Drosophila melanogaster: one gene and its partners. The protein of the gene in region 1 purifies or fractionates together with the protein of each later gene. This does not show direct contact. Each region holds a gene or a part of one and is shown in the gene's direction. Other genes may lie near its edges.

Region 1 (4,730 bases):
GTTCGTAGGTCTGGCAGATGTACGACAGACCCGACTCATCGAGCAGGATCTTCTGGATGATGAAAGTGGCCACAGTCTTGCTCAGCTCCGATCCGCTGTCCATGATGCTCAGACAAAGGGGCACGATCTCGGTGGTCAGCAGAAAGGTGATCACCTCCTGTTCGTCGGTCTGTCGATAGCAGTAATAAGAAGACAACAAGTGCATTAGTGCATTAGATGACCACTGGCCTTCGGCTTAACCTACCTTGACCAGAGCACCAATCACGCCCAAACTGGTCAGGCGCAAGTACTCGAAGGGCCTGGTCTTGGACGTGGTCGACAAGAAAGGGTACAAGTACAGCGGTATCTGGGCCTGCAGGAAGGCCGTGCGAGTCTCCGGGTGCGAGGCGACGCACTGCAGCAGCGCCAGGGCGTTGCACACGCGGTTCGACTGGTGGGCCGTCAAAGTGGGCGGCGTTATCGATGGGTAGATGTTAACAATCTCCTGCAACAGGGCGCAGGCGGTCCCGAAGCTGTTCCACAGCATGGGGGCCAGGTCCGTCTCACGCTTCTTGCTTAGCTCGAGCAGAGCGGTTTCACGCGTGTCCGGATGGGCCAGCTCATTGATCCACTGGTACACCTGGCGGGCGATAAGTTAAAGCTAGCACGCGTTCTTGCCGACATCGGCTTACCTTCTCCTGCTCGGTCTGCTGCTGCTGCTGTTGCTGCTGCTGCTGCTGCTGAGGATTCATATGCGGACTCGGTTGAGCACTCATCGTGTTAACTTGACAAGATCTGGGTAAGAACTGTCGCCGGACGCTTGCAATGCACTTAGTGTCGGCGAGAACTCGCTGAACGGAACGGGACCTGCGAAAAGGAAGAGGTGGATTCCTATCGCCGGACGCTTAGATCGGGCGAGAGTTCGCTGAACGGAATGGGGCCTGCGAAAAGGAAGAGGTGGAACTAGCGATTTGTCGTCGATTTCTATAGCCGGACGCTTGCAATAGACTTAGCTCGGGCGAGAATTCGCTGAACGGAACGGGGCCTGCGAAAAAGGAAGAGGTAAAACTGGCGATTTGGCGTCTATTGCGATTATCGATAACGTTAGCAGGAAATTCCTTTTGCATTGGTTTAAGTCTAAAATGATCGAAAACAAGTGGCGACAACCAGGATTATGTTGTGTGCCGAACAGTGTGGCCAGAACCGCGCAAATGCCGCTGGAAATTGGTGAAACGCAAGCGCGCTATTTGTTTTCCAGCGTCGATGTAAATATGTACATAAATTTAAATTTTCAGAGAAACTTCCCGCCGTACGAAAACACAAAGTCTGAATGAAATCAAACATGATTTGCCAAATACAACTGCTTGCGCATGCTTTGTTGGTGCAAAATGCAAAAGTCTACAATTTTGAAGAAAATAGGCTTGATATCTTTGAAAAAGGATGACATTGCAAAGAAATAATGAATGGACGTGAGCGCGTGATTGCGAATGACCGATGATTACATTGATCAAAAGTAATAACCATAATGGGTATTTTAATTAGGTTATAGTTCATAATTTGCATGCTAAAAGCTAAAAATGCAATTTAGTAAAGACGCATTTAGCGGTAGTCAAGTGCACCGACTGGTTTGTATCCCGGCTATCCCCGTCGATTTTGTGGTATTTCTTAGCACATTCCCCGCCAGCCGGGTATCTAGCTGACAGCCGCAAAACGGCCACACTGATTTTCATTTGTCGTGACGAGTACCTCGGAATCGAAAAGAAAAAAACATAAGCAGACAGGCGAAACAGAGCATTCCGTTCAATAATGAATGCATAAGAACGTTCGACGCGCGCCGAGAACCAGTCTGCATACGAGTCGTGCGTGCGGCCAGCGTGTTGGATATATTTTTTTGAGGTTTGCGCCAGTTTCCAATGCACTCTCGTGTCGCCCTGCCTTCTGTACCATCGAATTTGAATCGTTAAAAGTGCGTGGAAAAGTGTACGAATCGAAACCAATACACGGAAAGTGGGACAACGGCGACTGAGAGAGCTCGTTGCGCTTGTCTCTGTGTCGCTGCCTTTGTGTGCGTACGACTGAGCGTGTGTGTGTGTGTGCCGTTCTGTTGCTGTTGTGTGTGTGTGTGTGCATGCGTGTGCACCGCCGATGTGTGCGTGCGAGTAGTGCCTACTGCGGCCGAGAGTCGAGTGTTGCCCGTGCTTCGAAATCGCATTGAATCGTATGGAAAAATGTGTTTTACTTCTCGCCCAACAACGCCGAACGCCTAAAAAAGAAAATTGCCGCACGGCGTCGCGCAGCATCAATCAAAGTGCATAGAAATATGAGCATGCCAATGCCAGCAAAGGCAAAGGCAAACGAAATAGCAAATCCAAATCGCAATCGCGAATTGTGCACGCAAATCAAAAGCAGGCGCTCTTCTACTCCACCATCTTCTTTTGTCTGTCTCTGAGCGACGACTTTGCCGCATGGTGAGTTTGCCGTTTGCTTGTCGTTGCTGCTTCTTCTTTGCCCCGTTCGTTATTGTTGTTGTCGTTGGTATTGGTAGTGGTAGTGGTTGTAGTGGTGGTGTTGGGTCAGGGCTTTGGCGGCGGCGTCGTTGTTGCTAATTTTGTTGCCAGTGCACTGGCTGTCGATATTGCGCTCTAAAATCGTGCTCACAATAATATTAGTCCTAGTGCAGATAGATAGATGCTTGCATTTGGCCAGTAGAAATGTAAGCATACATATACGCAGGCCAGGGCAACCAACCCATATGAGTGTGTGCGTGTCGTGCTCCTTCGTATGTGTGTGTGTGTGTGTGGATTTTCTCCATGCAGCGGCATCGACTGCTTGTGGTGGATTTGGCCGCCAGCGTGGTGAATTCGCGTCAGTGTTGCCAGCACACACCAGTAACAAACAGGCCATAATTCGTGGCGGCGCGGCTTTCTCAGTATTTGCCTATCCCGCTGCTTCGCTGCGCTCCTCTGCGCTCAACGCCATAGCCATTCCGCTTCATCCTCATCTTCCTCCTGCCTTTTCACGTTCTCCCCCAGTCGACAGCTGTGTGCGCATGTTTGCAGCGCTTATTATTTATTAAGTGTTGTTGTTGTTGCCCTCGCCGTGGTTCTTCTTGTGTTTATTTCGCTTGAAGTTTTTCGCGGCAATTTCGAGCGGTAGTTTTTCAGCGCCGGAAAATCGTATTGCATTTTCATCGGAATTTTCGGCTGGCGACTGTTTAAACCTGCGCGTCCTTCGGTATTTACAAATACGGTTTAATTGTTTAGACATGTGCTATAATTAGTTCGTAACTCTACCCGGCTTTCATTCAATTTTATTCTTTCATTGGGCTCCAATAAGTGTGTATGTACAAATGTACATATATGTATGTATGTATGTATGAGTGTATTTGTGGGTGTGTGTGTCTGTAGGTCGTTCCCCTTTTCAAATTGTCTCTTTTTAGTGTAAACAAAATGCATCCCTTGGAGCGGCAATTATACGCATTATTATATGCTGTATTGGCGGTTTTCTTTAGGATTGATTTCACATGCAAATTTAAGAATTAGTTGTTGAAAGTCCCGAATCTTATCGACTGCTATCATGCACCCTGATCTAAAGTATCGTCCACTTCTTTTTGCAGGCTGGCGGCCCACTGGACAATCGAATATAGCAATGAATGATTTACGTCAGCAGCAGATGGTAGCAGCGACATCGTCATCAGGATCGGAATCGGGAACAGCGGTAGAATCGGCAGCCGCCACGTCCACAGCAGGATCAGCCGGAGCAGCAGGTCGCCCCCAGTCTAACTGTAGCGCTAATAGCAACGCCAAGTCAGTGGCAGCGAGCAGCACGAGCGAGGAGGAGCAGCGAGTTAGCTCCACGTCGTCGCCAGCCCAGCGGGATCAGCAGCTGAATGCAGATCGGGACCGGGAACAGGAGCCAGAGCCACAGCAGCAGCAGCAGCGGGAGGAGGCACTGCAGCACCAGCATAATCAGCCCGGCCATATAACCAGCACCACAGCGTCGCCTCCGCCGACGCTGCCACCGCCGACGACGCCGTGCGACGATGCCCCAAGCACAACTGGAGCATCTGCATCGGCCAGCTCAGCATCCGGAGAAGCACCATCAGCAGCATCAGCAGCGGGAGCAGCAGGTGGACCGATGGCCGCTACGGCGCTTGAGGTAGAGAGCGAGGAGCGGGATGGACATAAGATCATCCTGAAGCTCTCCAAGCACGCCAATCCCAACTCAAACGCAAATGAATCTCAGCCGGGCGGAGATGAGAGGCGCGTGGAGCCCCTGCGCATTCAGCTGCCCTGCGGCGGAGCGGAAGGAGGCTTGGTTGCGAAGCAGCAAGATGCCTTCGATGCGGACGCCTCTTCCTGCTCCTCGTCGTGCGCCGAGGACGAGGTGGCTACCACCCTCGGCCAACAACTACGAAACACCCCGCACATTGTGCCAAAGCTGACCATCCGCGCCGCGAACGAGAGGCGCGTAGGCAGCGTGGTGCCTAAGCTGACCATCAAGTTGCCTGAGAATCCGGCTGCTTCCGGCTCCAACTCCAACTCTGGATCGTGCTCAGCAGCTGTGAGTGGCGCCCAGTCAGCTATGCCCGCCAAGAACGATGCCCACCTGTCCAGCCTCTCGCCCGCATCCGCCTCGTCTTCATCTGCCTCGTCCTCCTCCTCATCGTCGTCGTCGTCCTCACTGGCGGAGATGCAGACGGTGCCCAAGCTGATGATCAAGACAACGCTAGCCGGTAGTAGCTGCATCAG
Region 2 (3,048 bases), on another chromosome or scaffold:
AAGTTAAGATTAAAAGATTCCCATTTGTTTGGATAATTCTCGCAGTTTAAATAATTTGTATACTTTTGCGTGACGCACAAGCTAATGTACTCATCTGTGTAGGGTATGTACACTACTAAAACGTACAGTGTGGCAGCCCGAATGGCACTGCAAAAGTCTGGCAACTCTATGCGAGTCTCTGCTTCCTCTTCCCAAGTAAACCAAAACACCCACAGAGCAAAAGAAAAAACAGTAATAATACAAAGACAAGATGACGTTGCCCGAGTTCTTTGGCTGCACCTTCATCGCCTTCGGACCGCCCTTCGCCTTGTTCGTCTTCACCATCGCCAATGATCCAGTGCGGATCATCATTCTGATTGCGGCGGCATTCTTCTGGCTGCTTTCCCTGCTGATCTCTTCCCTGTGGTATGCCCTGATTCCGCTGAAGGAGTTCCTGGCATTTGGCGTGGTCTTCTCGGTGTGCTTCCAGGAAGCCTTCCGGTACATCATCTACCGGATACTGCGCAGCACGGAGCAGGGATTGCACGCCGTGGCGGAGGACACGCGAGTGACGGACAACAAGCACATCCTGGCCTATGTCTCCGGCTTGGGATTCGGCATTATATCCGGGATGTTTGCACTGGTCAATGTGCTGGCTGATATGGTGAGTGCAGCAAAGGTGCGTAATGTGCTCCGAGCAATGACAGATCTTTTGGTTTTTAGAGTGGTCCCGGCACCATGGGCTTGAAGGGCGGAACTGAGCTATTCTTCGTCACCTCGGCTGCCCAGGCGTTGTCGATTATCCTGCTGCACACCTTCTGGAGCGTTATTTTCTTCAACGCATTCGACACAAACAACTATATCCACATAGGCTATGTGGTTTTCAGCCACCTGTTCGTCTCCCTGATAACTCTGCTCAATGCCAATGAGCTTTACACGACCACTCTGCTGATAAACTACTTGGTCACCATACTTACGGGAGTCCTGGCCTTCCGGGTGGCTGGAGGAACATCTCGCAGTTTCAGAAAATTCATAACATGCCAGTAAACATACTCCTAGTATTAACCGCCTAGTTAATAGCTTTTGTATAACATTATAAAAAAAAACAAATTACCTTGTATATGCTCGATTAGTTACGCATTCTATGGACTTAAATCCCTTTACTAAATGGATTTCTTGAAAGAATGAGAATGCATTAAGATCCCAAGGTCTTTCGCAATAAATTCCCAAAACACAGATCTTAAGATACATTATTTTTAATGAGAAAAAAACTACTACAATGCATGCCATTATCTACTGACTATAGTCCACTTTCCTAACATTAATACCGTAGTCGGCCAAAGCCGGCTGCAGATCCTCCATGGTCAAGGTGAACTTGCGGTCCTTGGCCTTCGATCCTCCCGGTGTATTGGTGGTTTGCATATGGGTGCGCGCCTTGGAGTGCTGCAGTGCATCGTCGATGATGTCGGACATGTACTTCTGGGCGGCTAGGCTGATCAGCCGAACGATGCGCTTGTCGTCCGACTGAAAGCCTCCCATGTTGAGATAGTGCGAGGTGACCGCATCCGGAATCAATGGAGTATAATCTTCCAGCTGCGACATGAAGTCGCTGAGATGCGAAGATGGTGTGGTCCTATCCCGATCTCCACCGCCACCTCCTCCCGAGGATTGTCCATGACTGCTTGCGCCACCGGCGCTGTTGTGGTAAATAATTCCGAAATTGGAGCCCACCATCGAAAAAAGTGTACAATACAAATTAAACACAGTGCAGACGTAGTGATGGGAGATGCTAGTTATCGAATTATTCCGTATTGTTGCTGCCAGTGCTATCGATTCTTCTTACGGTTCGTCATCGATTACAATATAAACATACACACATATACACGCCAGCTGAGATAACAAATTTCTGGAAATAAACAATTAAAAAGTGGAAAACAATGGCTTCCGATGGCGAGGACATCAGTGTTACACCCGCAGAATCCGTAACATCGGCCACGGACACCGAGGAGGAGGATATAGACTCGCCACTAATGCAGTCCGAACTGCATTCCGACGAGGAGCAACCGGACGTGGAGGAGGTTCCTCTGACGACGGAGGAATCGGAGATGGATGAGCTGATAAAGCAGCTGGAGGACTACTCGCCCACCATACCAGACGCCCTCACCATGCACATCTTGAAAACGGTAGCTATATACCGGAAACTATTCTTTGTAGCATTTCTAATATTGGATTAAATCTGCAGGCTGGCTTCTGCACAGTGGACCCCAAGATAGTGCGCCTCGTCTCGGTGTCCGCGCAGAAGTTCATCTCGGATATTGCCAACGACGCACTGCAGCACTGCAAGACGCGCACCACGAACATCCAGCATTCCAGCGGACACAGTTCCAGCAAGGACAAGAAAAACCCCAAGGACAGGAAGTACACGCTGGCCATGGAGGACCTGGTGCCGGCACTCGCGGACCACGGCATCACCATGCGCAAGCCGCAGTATTTCGTTTAGATTTAGTTAAGCTCTAAAGTTTTGAATTGGGCACACAAATATAGCTAGTTTTCTTCAAGTTGTAAAAACATTTTAGCGAGGCACTTTCTTTATTAGACAAACTAGAAATTTGGAGCTACGATGTTAAAGAATTTGTTAGCCAACTCAATGCCGAAGAAGCAGGCAGCGTTGGCTGGGAAGGCTCGGAGCATGATGGGCGTCACGCCGCGGTACAAGGCCAGAGGTCCATCCTTGACAATCAGATCCTTGAAGACACTGCGTATGCCGTGCTTGTAGGTGCCTTCGGGAGCCGATTGTAGGCGGCTCTTTAACACGTCGGCTGGCATGCCCAGAATCCAGTAGGCCATGCCCGCCACTCCACCTGCGAAAATCGTTGAGGCAGTACTGATTTGTCCCGTCTCTGACTTCGACTTGGCCACATCCTGCAGCGCCTCGTAGACCAGGAAGTACAGCCCGTTGGCGGGCAAATCCCTGAGCATTGTGGCGCAGCTGCCCTTGAAAACGCTGCGAAGTCCACCCTCCTTGTATAGCTTGCCGGCGCAGTCGATCATGCCGTTGTACTTGCGCTC
Region 3 (2,998 bases), on another chromosome or scaffold:
CGCAGCAGGATCCCTCTACGGACATGACGACAATCCAAAACCAATTCCGACAAGGTATAGTCGCCATCAATGACCAGCAGGGTGCTATCCTCATCGCTCGAGCACACCACAGGCAGCAGGGAAAGATCTGCAGCAGGACTTAGTATGGCTTCCGGCTGAGTGAGTCCCCTTAGGCTGCCATTATCGTTGAGGTGCTCCAAGAATTTGATTGTATGCTCGCCGGGCGAAAGTAGAATATCATCGTTGCTCTGACAGATGCTCAGGACATCCTGCAACGTATTGGACAGCTGCACTTTCGATTCCGGCTTGACCAGCGTCTGGGCCAGCTTTAGCAGTTCCAGCTGCTGCTGCAGTTTTCCCGGCAAGGTTACCACATGGCTTATGGAATTCCGCTCTACCAAGAGATCCTCCGATTGTCTGGTTCTTCCTGAGGAGCAGCGAAGCCGCTTGAGGCTATTAGACTGTAGCTCGCTGTAGGCTCGCCTCATTTCAGGATTTTCAAGGATCTCGAACTCGCTCCTTATGATGGCCATGCGCAGGTGCAGGCACATCAGATCTGTAACCGGCAGACTGGACACATTGAGACAGCCATTGGCACTGCCCGCTTTAGATTGCTTTCTAGCGGGCTCTGCTACGCTGTCATTGAGTTCCACAGCCTCGTCGTCGCTCTCGGCATCACTGAGATCCAGTTCCAAGTAGTCCAGACGCTGCTGAATGTATTTGGCTTCGGCGAGCAGGGTGCGCATGTGCAGGGCCAACGGACGGGGCAGTCGGTTCTTGCTGAGATCGCACACTAGTTGGATACGAGCCTGCAGATGCTGTTGCACCCAGTCGCGATCATCGTCGTAGTCCTTGTCCCAAGGCATCCACACATGCGTATAGAAGAACCGCAAACGATCGATGCATTCAGCGGTGGTATCCACATTTAGAGCTGCGTTCTCCTGCTGCACAGTGGGCCACAGCTCCACTAGCGATACTTCATTACTCTCCGGCAGGTGGACATCGCTATCCTGCACGGCGGTCACCACAAATACCGCCTTGAGCTCGTCAAAGATCACCTGCTCCACGTAGCCGTAAACAATGGTGGGATAGCGTAGTTTCAGATCCTCGCAAATAACGCGTGGAATTTTCCAAATTGCCTGCCATCCTATATATCCCATATAGATACATATATGTATATATAGTTGCCTTTTGTGCACGAGTGTGTGTGTGTGTGTGTGTGGGTGGCTTACCTGCAGGCTCAATTTTTAATTCGACGTAGGATTTCCACTCGGATCGAACCTGGGATGCGGGCATCACGGCTCCCTCCCACGAAAGCACCGCCTCCGCTTCTTTTAGGCGCTCCAAGTACGATTTCTCAAAGGTAAACACTTCCATTTTCCCCTTTTGAATGAACGATGTGTTCGTTTATAAAAATTTTTGAAATGCGTGTGCAAGCAAAGGCTTCGATAACGATTGTTCGGGCGGCGTTATCGCGCAGTGCAACCATGTGTTGAGTTTGGCTAGATTTTTACTCGTGGCTATAATTTAAGCACCTATATAAATATATTTTAGATGTATTTTGTATGGTCTTGAATAAATTCACAATTTATTTAATCACGAACCAAAATATTTAGATTTGTTGACAAGCTCAGATATTTGAAATATGAGCTCGCAATCTAGCTATTTCGAGTTAGTCTCAGTATCAGCTACCTTCTCAACCAATTATCGCCAGCAGTGCTGCAAGTATCGATTACAATGCTCATTCAATGCGGTGTTACTCGCGTAAACACAAAATTTGTATACAAATTCAACGTTTTAATTGAAGTCTGAGCACTATGGCCTCAAATAGCATGCCAGAGGAGAATTTCGAGGGCGGTGATGTAAGGAAATATTATAAGCACCAGTTCCAATGTCTCCGATTCTAAGCTAATCACCATTTTTAGTTCAACTTTGATGACGACGCGGAGGATGACCAATTTGTGGCTACCAACTCAGGACGAAAGCGCCTATTCAGCAAGGAGCTGCGCTGCATGATGTTCGGATTCGGAGACGACAAAAATCCATACACGGAAACCGTAGATCTGCTGGAAGACCTGGTCATTGAGTATATAGCTGAGACCACTCACCGGGCAATGGAGATCGGTCGAACAGGCCGTGTTCAAGTCGAAGACATTATCTTCCTGGTGCGCAAAGATCCCCGAAAGTACGCTAGGGTGAAGGATCTTCTGACCATGAACGAGGAGTTGAAAAAGGCACGAAAGGCCTTCGATGAGATCAAGTATGTGGGTGAGTATTGCAAAAGTTCGACATTTCCTAAGAACTACATGTAATCAACCATTTAAACGAATAATTCCCAGGCACCGAAGGCAAGCTCAAATGACAGCGGTCAAAAAAAGCCACACCAAATCCAGGTATAAGCCAAACCTAGCAGTTAGCTCCAAGATGCGAATTATTTTTAATGTCTTTAATACTCTAAGCTAGCGCATAATAAACTAATCAAAATAGTCTTCAATGTCAATGTCGGGATTAAGAATATCATCGCCATAGGGCTCCAAATCAATGCCGTTCAGGATGAGGTTCTCGCAGGTCTCTGCGAGATCAGTGTTGCCGATTAGCATTGCTCCCCGTAGTCTGCCATTTTGAAGCACAAACTTGATGTATTCCTTATTTCTCGTGCAGCGCACCAGAATTTCGTAGTCCCTGCCCAAATCCTGACCATTAAAGCGTCCCAGCAGGACAACAGGATATCCGAAAAGTTTGGTTACGTGGCCAAAGAGCTCGAAGCAGAAATCCTGGTACACGCTTTCACCTTCACTGGCAGCCGCCATACTCCTGCCCGCCATGGAGCCCATTTGGCGAGCCTGAGTCCACAGGCGCATCTGGAACCAGTGCATTGCGGCTGGCCAGTTGGCCGTGCACACATCACCGGCCGCAAAGACATCCACCAGATTCGTACGCATCATTTCATCCACCGATATGCCACCATCGTCGGAAAATTGAAGTGGCGAATCACACG

The links.
Region 2: the proteins of e(y)3 (region 1) and Taf10 purify together in Drosophila melanogaster (affinity purification with western blotting, with the first as the bait; 3 studies listed by BioGRID). This does not show direct contact.
Region 3: the proteins of e(y)3 (region 1) and Taf13 purify together in Drosophila melanogaster (affinity purification with western blotting, with the first as the bait; 2 studies listed by BioGRID). This does not show direct contact.

What each region holds. Positions count from the first base shown.
Region 1 is NC_004354.4:19,635,335-19,640,064, reverse strand, and holds the start of e(y)3 (enhancer of yellow 3), read left to right. Parts: upstream 1-1,695; 5' UTR 1,696-2,692; exon of another isoform or gene 2,693-3,213; intron 3,214-3,595; 5' UTR 3,596-3,627; coding exon 3,628-4,730. Other genes in the region: Rcd-1 (required for cell differentiation 1), read right to left, coding at 1-169, 245-619, 672-755. UniProt on the Drosophila melanogaster protein: Essential transcription regulator during early development. Coactivates transcription of some euchromatin genes and repress transcription in of euchromatin genes translocated to heterochromatin.
Region 2 is NT_033779.5:2,766,065-2,769,112, forward strand, and holds Taf10 (TBP-associated factor 10), read left to right. Parts: upstream 1-1,825; 5' UTR 1,826-1,916; coding exon 1,917-2,162; intron 2,163-2,221; coding exon 2,222-2,479; 3' UTR 2,480-2,548; downstream 2,549-3,048. Other genes in the region: aph-1 (anterior pharynx defective 1), read left to right, coding at 251-643, 703-1,026; Taf10b (TBP-associated factor 10b), read right to left, coding at 1,273-1,713; colt (congested-like trachea), read right to left, coding at 2,581-3,048. UniProt on the Drosophila melanogaster protein: TFIID is a multimeric protein complex that plays a central role in mediating promoter responses to various activators and repressors.
Region 3 is NT_033779.5:20,092,588-20,095,585, reverse strand, and holds Taf13 (TBP-associated factor 13), read left to right. Parts: upstream 1-1,736; 5' UTR 1,737-1,817; coding exon 1,818-1,862; intron 1,863-1,925; coding exon 1,926-2,268; intron 2,269-2,339; coding exon 2,340-2,362; 3' UTR 2,363-2,474; downstream 2,475-2,998. Other genes in the region: nesd (nessun dorma), read right to left, coding at 1-1,147, 1,233-1,377; Pyroxd1 (pyridine nucleotide-disulfide oxidoreductase domain 1), read right to left, coding at 2,475-2,998.